2 linked regions of the Kluyveromyces lactis genome follow. The protein of the gene in region 1 purifies or fractionates together with the protein of each later gene. This does not show direct contact. Links are inferred from orthologs where the notes say so. Each region holds a gene or a part of one and is shown in the gene's direction. Other genes may lie near its edges.

Region 1 (4,982 bases):
CTCACGGATCGTATCACCGGTGGAGGGATTGGTTACAGCAAACTTGTCGTCAGTTTCTGTCCATTTACCGTTGATAAAGGCCTTGGTTTGTATCAAATAATCGTTCTCAATTTTAGAAGACATCTTTCTTAATAGGTTTAGCGTTCTTAGGGTATTCGAGTTGCGGAACATCTTAACTCTTGGAAATAACACACTCAGCGACTTGACAATTTGTTAGCCATTAGGATCGCCGTTTATATACAAAGTTCTGCTCTTATTGCTTCATGCTTGCTCTTAATAGCAAAAAGTGCGTCATATTAAATGTTATATAATATCCATTATGTAGTGTAGAGATGATACACTATTTAAGGTTGGAAAGAGGAGACGGAGCCGAAGTTAACATCAGCATGCATCAAATTCTGATAATTCTTATTTAATCTTGCTATGCTCGGTCTATATATTGCTGTATAATCACTACATTTTGCTATGCCCTTTGCTTAAGGCACCTAAATATTACCAAATCCTCTTTGATACCATCTTGTATCTTTCAACGGACTCTAGCGATTTAGGATGCTTCAGATCTCTCTTGGTTCTTTGCTCGTTGAGGCTAGGTGGGATGCTTGCCTTCTTTTCAAAAGCAGCGAGTTTTGGCGATCCTGGTGGTGTAATTGTTGGTGAATAAGTTCTTGTCTGGCTAGAGTGTGTCATTTTGCGGGCATCCTCATCCATCATTCCTCTTCCAGCAGAGAGATGGCCATTGATATACAAAGGATCTGGGTGCAAGCTGGCTTGTTTGTTTTGGATATGTAACGTCCATCTCAACAGTATTGCTTGAAGTGTTAGCTTTGTGAGTAGAGCCCATAGGAATCCAAATATTATCAGAACAGTGGACCAGATGATATTATTCTTGATCGTTTGCCTGATGGCAGGCCATACCAGTACTAGGAAGGCTACTATTAGTGGCGGGAACGGCAAACCTAACCTCTTTTGGAATTGGATACTGTTGGATAGGTTGTCCTTGGAAAGAATTTGCAAATACCTTTCATAGATATGCGCTCTGATTCTGTTGAATTTGATAATATATGCGTGCTTGATCCAATCCACTATCAATTCACTTCCAATTACTGTGACAATCGGCCCTATAAATATACCAACTATCAAGGACTGTGTAGAATGAACATTCCATGAGTGTGGTAAAACATCGCGCAAGCTCTTTCTTGCTACGATAAAGTTTCTCACTGCAATGACCGTTAGAAATACGATCAACTGGAATCTTTCCACGACGTCAGCCATAGTCAATTGGAACAATCCTTCTTTATCAATTCTCTTGAAAACTGCAGATTTTAACTCTGAAAACTGCATTGACAACAGTAGCGTCCATAAGGAGTTAGAATACGAGTTTACCGCAACGTTCATGGCAAGAATCTGGTAGATGTATATCAACGCGTGGAAACTTAAACATAAACAACATGCAATATATAGCATTACCATCTCTGTCTTATGTTTGGCACTCTTCTTGAGCATGATAATTGAATATAGATCAAGGCCAACACTTGATAAGAGCTTTTCTGTCATCTCAAGAACCTGAAATATCATGTATAGTTTAATAGCATTTTGGCCCTTAATTTTATGATATATTCTTGAGGTGTCAAGGACATTCAATATCGAACAGGGTCCAAGAATCATCGCAGTAGTAAGAAGCTCTTGTCGTATTCTTTTAGGACCATCTCGTTTCACCACTAATACATGGAATACCCTAAGTGGTATAATGGTAAAGTAATACAAGAAGCAGTTCAAACAAGTCAATATCGCAAAGACAAAGAATTGCTCGACTTGGAATGGTACCCTCAGTATGTTCGCAATCTGCTCCAGATCATATTCAACAGACTTCTCACTCTGATCACATGGTTCCTCTTCGAATACCTTGGCTGTTTGGGGAAGAATCTCCTGGTATATAAAGTTCTTTATCGATGATGACACCGTATTCACGTCTTGTTCAACCGATACCCTTCTCCCAGCACCAGAACTGCTTTCCTTAGACCTCGCCTTTCGCCTTTTGAGGTGGGCTTCAGAATCCTGTGAACTCATTTGTTGAGGCACAACTGACCGGTTAGTGCTAAGGACCTTACTTCGTCATGGATATTTCTTTCTTCTGTTGTTGTTGTCTGCTCGAATTCGATCTACATTGAATTAAAATAAAGTCCTTGCTTAAATCACATCGAAGGGTTGATAGTGCCAAAGTAAAGAAGGTAAACTTAAGAAAAGCACATGAATAAGGGACCTCATACAGCTGCTTGACCAACTACGACCGTGAAATAATTTACCAAAATAATTAGACTATAGCAATGGCTACCATTGAAGAAATCAAAGAGGTTGTATTAAAACCCTATACAAACCATCGACAATTGACCATAAGGGAAGTGGAAACTATAAGTATCAATTTAATAGACTTATTGATTACAAAAGACGTGAAAGATGCAAGGACGATGAAATACATTTCAAGGTTCCTTACCAAACAGGATTATGCGGATCTAGTCCAAGAAAGGAACTTGGTGAAGCGTTGTGGATATCCACTCTGTAGCAAAAGCCAGGCGAGAGTACGTGATCCCTTCGCAGATGTACAGATGACCAATTTCTTAAGACAAAATAACCCATATGCATACCTTACAGAATACTGTACTAAGGCTCATTTTAGATGTTCACAGTTTTACCAGTTTCAGCTCTCAGACGAGGCTTTGTTTGCTAGGGTCGGTGTACATCTTGACGATTATGAGCCACCTAGTGAGATACAATTGCTCGAAGAAGTACTAGCTAGAGAGTCTGATGTTAAGCAGATGATTCGTGGTATGACTGATTTGAAACTCGCGGACGATGATAGTAGAGAGGAAATGGAAAGGGATATCAGTGACATGTTAGCTGATATTAAGATCGTAGAGATCAACGAGCCAAATATCATTGGAGATTTAGGACGAGATAGATGAAATGACAGAATGATGACAAGTACAAACATATTTGAGGTAGAGCATTTTGACTCTATAACTCAAAATATATGGACAATCCTGCATTATATAGTCATACATAAAATAGTTTTATTTACGATTTAACTTTCACTAATTGATCTGGTCTAAGGAACCTCCATTTAACAAGCAAAGCACCTAAATTTTTCTCTTCGGTAAATGGGTTTGTCGTTGGTAACTCTGCTTTCAAGCCCAAGAATCGTTCAAGCCTTTTTTTATAAAGTCTTTGGTTCAGTTGTTTATAATATTCATATTGTTTTCCGTCAATTAAGTGATCTCTACTTTCGGTGAATTTACGCTGTGTATTAGCATTTATCCGGTTGAGAATGTCCATATCTTCGAGGATTGGTTTTATCCAGTCGATGAACACTGCAGGGATGTCATTGGACTTACCACTCTTTATCTGTGTCACGACGTCATTGAATTTTCGTGAACATGGTTGTTTGTGAATCAATGTATATTCCCATTGTGCTTCTTGAAATGCATAGAAAAGTTTGGATTCACACTCCCTAAATCTATCGAGATTATCTTGAGCTCTAAGCCGTGCCTTAATTATGATTCCTGTCAATTTCTTAGACTGGCGTGCCTTCCTATTGAATGGAGATCGTATGAACCAAATTCGGGATTGGCCAGCGTTGGTGTAGTTAATAGAAACTTTAGGGGGGCCCTTGGCAATGCGGTACTCAATCCTGTACAAAATTTTACAGTATCTCTCGTGGATTGCAAGAGGTCTGAGTAGCTCGTCGATATGTTTACGAGGTATCGTTTTAGTCGGACCATATATTTTATAATATCTAAGAAGGTAGCGGTATAAATCACCATCACCAGGAATAGGTGCTAATCGCTTCTTTTTTTCCCTTCGACTCTCATCCCCCATATTTTCAGTTACCACCACACCAGAAATTGGTTTGTTCGCTTGCTGCAACGGTTCTGGAGCAGGCTCGATCTGCTCTGTGTATTTGTTCTTTAGAGCAACTAGCTTGATTATATCATCGCCGACAATATACTTATTCAGATGAGAGAGATCCTCCAATAATCCACGTACGTACCAGCCAGCTTTATGATTTCTGTTACGTCGTACTGCTTGTCTCAATGTGTTCCAAAGCTCAATCTGGAGATTATCAGTGGGTACGTTGGCCCTAATGTTTCGTAATGAATATCTGTACCATTCCAATACGTGTTTCCTATGACTTCCTATCTCTCCAAATGGTCGTACCATTGATATAATTCTGCTTTGTAGAGCTTCATCAATTTGATAAGATTGAGTAGGATGTACCTTGAATTCTTCCTGTTTTCAACTACTCATCTATTCATGTCATCGCATCTCATCTCATCTTGACAATAGTCATAAACTTTGAAAACATACAGATCAGCGTGCTATACATGCTTCGTATGGTGCCGTGTGAGACGTCATTTTACAGCAAAGTGGTTTCGTGGTCTAGTCGGTTATGGCATCTGCTTAACACGCAGAACGTCCCCAGTTCGATCCTGGGCGAAATCATTTTCTTTTTAATTTTTTTTTTTTGCCTCCTGTGTACTTTAAGCAACAAATCAGCAACAAATTCTACTACCAAGCTACACACAATATTGTTTGATTTGTAAACATTGTGGTTGCCAAGTTTCGGTTGAATGACTAGTAGAGCATTATCTCTATCCTCGAACTCCTTTTCTCATTTTATCACTTCTAAAGTCTCTTTATGTTCCATAATGATGCAAAACCATAACAATCTCCGCTATATTCAAAGTAACAGTGAGGAAGAAAACGACAATTATCTAAATCAGTTGTGGTACGTGATTATTCATGACACTCACTATAAATCATCCGAGCTACGCGATTACTGTTTCTAGTATTTCTCCAGCCCTGTTGCGTGCTGATCACTTCAGAGAACAGTCAAACTCCCAAAATTTGACCTAAATGGCTTCGTGGTCTAGAGGTATGATTTCCGCTTAGGGTGCGGGAGGTCCCGGGTTCGATTCCCGGCGGAG
Region 2 (4,024 bases), on another chromosome or scaffold:
ATGAAACCTAATACAATATTGCCGCAACAAGATATCTCAAACTCATTGATGCGATTTCAGTCCATGAAAAGTAATAACGATGCTCTTAGCGATAACCTTTCGATGAGTATGTCCATCGACCAGCCTAATGTTAGGTTTGGCTCAAATTCACATTCTCCAATACCTTCATTTTCACCAAATTATGGTTCCATTCCCTCCAGGCTATCTCAAGGTAGTAGAAACAATAGTAATGCGGAATTGATTACCAGCAGGAAAAGCTCATTGGATAGACACAAGCATAATCTATTGAGCAGAACTGGAAGCAACGTTGACATAAACAGGAGAGGTTCTGTAGGAACTATGGAAACGACTAATGAAGATTCTAAAGAGGACGAACAGTCTCACATGAAAGGAATGCACTTCAGCAATGAAGCAACCATAAATAAAGATGACGATGAGGATGAAATGTTAATGAAACGTTCATTTAACGCTGGAACATCTACTACTGAGCAGGTTATGGGGTCGCCCAGATCTATAAGAAGTATTTCTGTAAGTTCTTACCCAAGAAACCAGCTTCCATTGAAACATCTCAACCTCTCTCACCCTACAACATCGGCTACCACTACCCATGCAAAATTTCATAAGAGTGAAATGAGCCCCGACCCACTGCACACAGAAGGAGCACAACCGCATACTAGCTCGCAACATCATAATAGCTCTCAAAAAAATGATGAAGATGATGATTTGTTATTTGTTATGAGTGATATGAATCTAACCAACTAATAATGACATCAATAATTAATATTAATACAATGGTTTCACGACCTCAAACCATTCTTTCAAAAATGCATTTTATAAATAATTTATACTTGAATATATATATGTGTATATATATAGATATAAACATCACATACAAACTTCACCTGAAATTTTTTAAATCTTCCTAGCGTGGTCATTCTTAGAGGATTTTTGGTTCTCGTCCTCAAGAATCTTCATCTTTAATTCATGAATCTTGTGCTTTTCAATATGAGTATCGAATTTTTCTTTTGATTTGAATGTTCTGTTACAATTGGTATATGGACATTTTCTTTTCTGACCCACTGTATTCAATAACAATGATTTGGTTGTCTTCCCTGACTCAATATACTTCTTTATCTTTATTTCTGCTTCAACTGATCCAAGCTCGTCAACTTTCCGTTTCTTTGAGAAAGAGGGGAAATCAAGTAACGTTTTTTTCCCTGAACTAAAACTGTCCTCCGTTTCTGATATCTTTATATCTGTATTCACTTTAATATTCGTATCTTCATCAGCGTCCGTCGGCAGTAATAGCAATTCTGGATCTACATCTTTGTGACTTTCTTCATAATGTTGTACTAGCTGAGTTTTCTTCGCAAATGATGTATCTGGACATGAAGAACATTTCCAATTCTTAGTGACCAAACTCTCGTCATGAATCATCATATGATTCCGTAAACCTGATTCAGCAACACAAGGTTTCCCACAAATAGGACATGGTAATTTCGGATGGCATTGTTTAATATGTTGTTGTAAAGAAGACCAAGTGGAAAATACGTCGGTACATGAAAGAAAGTCACATTGGTACATTCCGGTAGATTCTGGGTTGTGATGCTTATCTATGTGATTCTTCAATCGATAAGGCCTTTGGAACGTCTTGTTACAGTGAGGGCAGGTAAGTTTCTTTTCGTGAACGGACAAGATATGCGATCGGAGTTGTGGATGTTTGTAGAATGATTCGTTACATCCCTCATATGAACAGTGGAAGGACTTCGTATGTGTAATTTCATGTCTCTTTAACTGTTGTCTGGTTGTGACACCTTTCCCACATATAGAACATGTGAAAGGTTTATCATCTGTATGAGAGAACATGTGTCTATTCAGATGCGATTTTTTCGCAAATTCTTTGCCACAAGTGTCGCATTTAAACGGTTTGATTCCATGATGCACGGTGAGCTGATGCTCCGTGAGCAAACTCGGTCTTGTGAACGATTTGTTACACCCTTGATAATCGCAGAAATATACTTTAGAACGCTGTGACGATGAAACTGACACAGTGCTAGTCACACTGGCCATACTCATAACACTATCCATGGACTCTGATCTGGTTAGCGGCGGTGTAGGTACACAACATTGTTGATCATCATCGTTTTCACCAACAACATTCTGCCGTACCTCATTTTCCTTATTGTATGTCGGCGCGACCATCACAGATTCATCAGTAGCTACTACAACGTTGCCTAAATAGTCCATAACTCGGTTGGGTATTCCGTGTATCGGCGTGAATCTCCTTACCCAATCGCACCTCATCGCCTGGGTTTTTTCTATGAATTTCATTTGAATCTTATTTTGTATTTTCAATTAGGGACGTAAAACTGTAATAATCATACAGAATAGACAGGGAAAAGAAGCAGCTACCACCTCCTTCTGAGAACTTCAGTAACTGTGTACTACTAGCGATTCTCAAAGGTAATGCAAGCAAGACAAATAGGATACCATAAATGGGCTGAACCAGTAACATATTCATACAGTTCACCACCTCATCTCGAAAAGTGTTGATAATCGTTTCTTTTACTGTCACAATCGATTTTTGAAAAATTTGGAAAAATTGGAAAAAGCTTCAAATGAAAATGAGCTAGCGAGTAACACAGTAACACGATGTGGACGATAAATTGTCTTATCCAGGTCTTTATTGTTGATCAGCGGCATCAAGGATTAGCATCTTGATAGATAAAGATGTCAGACAACGAGGGAGCGTATGTTATAGCGATTTAATAGGTGTTTTTCCCTATTATTTCTTCGTAGAAGTTGTCTTCATGAATAGTTTTACTAACTAGATGAGTATGCGTTGCTGAATGTCAATTCAAGCACAAACTATCTAATACAGATTTAATGACGGTCCAGAGAACTATGAAGATTTTGACCAAGAGCATTTCTCAGATTACGACGGATTTGATGAGGGCGAGGGTAAGTTTGGCGATGAGAACGGATTAGGCACAGATGAAAACGGGAACACGATAGTTGCTGGAGGATTTGGTCCAGAAGAGTTCCAGCAACAGGAGGCTCGTCGGAGAAGAACTTTGAAGGAGAAGGCTATCGCCAAGGAAGATAGAACTACAACACCATACATGACAAAGTACGAAAGAGCCAGAATTTTAGGTACCAGAGCCTTGCAAATATCTATGAACGCACCAGTGTTCGTTGACTTGGAAGGTGAAACCGACCCATTGAGAATCGCTATGAAAGAATTAGCAGAGAAGAAGATACCATTGGTCATCAGAAGATATCTTCCTGATGGATCGTTCGAAGATTGGTCGGTTGAAGAACTTATCGTGGACTTGTAGAGAGCATACCATAGGCATCTTTAAAATAGAAAACCCCAGAAATATTAATAGTAATATATGTGTATATTATATATGAAAAGACACTGTAAATTTAGATATATCCACTGCGAATCATTCACTGATAGATTGAACGAACTTTTCTCCCTTAAATACTCTTCGGCCAGATACTTGTTTCGCAGAAAAGTGTGCCAATACACGATCCAGTTTCGCAGGGTCTTCCAATCCGACGTCCTTTAGACATTGTTCAAGCTCAGCAGAGTCACACAAGAGCTCTTCATTATCTGAGAATGCCTTAAGTGCTTCTCTGATCTCGGTTGGGTCTGGCATTTCACCCATACATTCGCTCATTAACGACAGATACGCTGGAAATGTTAAAGTTTCGTCAGGAGCTAAGCTTAACATTTGTTCCACATCTTCTTTATTATCTGGTTTACCCAATCCTCTCAACATCTTTGCAAGATTTGATTCTGATATCATTCCATCTCCATCGTCATCTATTAGTTGGAATGCTTCCTGCATTTTCTTGATCTGCTCTTGTGTAAACTGGGAAAAAGTGACCGAACTACTCTTATTCATCGCGAAGCTAGTAAACTTGTTCTCACTATTCCAATGTATATAAAGATCCAACACTGACCTTTATTTGCTAAAGTACCCGTTGTCTCTGTAACGAGATGCTATTCTGTGTT

What was found.
Region 2: the proteins of RTR1 (region 1) and RPO26 purify together in Saccharomyces cerevisiae (affinity purification with mass spectrometry; 3 studies listed by BioGRID). This does not show direct contact. The link is inferred for Kluyveromyces lactis from reciprocal best matches to the Saccharomyces cerevisiae genes RTR1 and RPO26.

Annotation. Positions count from the first base shown.
Region 1 is NC_006042.1:1,171,740-1,176,721, forward strand, and holds RTR1 (RNA polymerase II subunit B1 CTD phosphatase RTR1), read left to right. Parts: upstream 1-2,324; coding exon 2,325-2,960; downstream 2,961-4,982. Other genes in the region: KLLA0_F12628g (NAD-dependent succinate-semialdehyde dehydrogenase), read right to left, coding at 1-171; EMP65 (Emp65p), read right to left, coding at 493-2,067; RRG1 (Rrg1p), read right to left, coding at 3,073-4,215. UniProt on the Saccharomyces cerevisiae protein: RNA polymerase II subunit B1 C-terminal domain (CTD) phosphatase that dephosphorylates 'Ser-5' of the CTD and regulates RNA polymerase II during the transition from 'Ser-5' to 'Ser-2' phosphorylation.
Region 2 is NC_006038.1:313,103-317,126, forward strand, and holds RPO26 (DNA-directed RNA polymerase core subunit RPO26), read left to right. Parts: upstream 1-2,730; coding exon 2,731-2,750; intron 2,751-2,881; coding exon 2,882-3,338; downstream 3,339-4,024. Other genes in the region: serine/threonine protein kinase regulatory subunit ATG13, read left to right, coding at 1-762; PZF1 (Pzf1p), read right to left, coding at 913-2,331; MLC2 (Mlc2p), read right to left, coding at 3,450-3,914. UniProt on the Saccharomyces cerevisiae protein: DNA-dependent RNA polymerases catalyze the transcription of DNA into RNA using the four ribonucleoside triphosphates as substrates.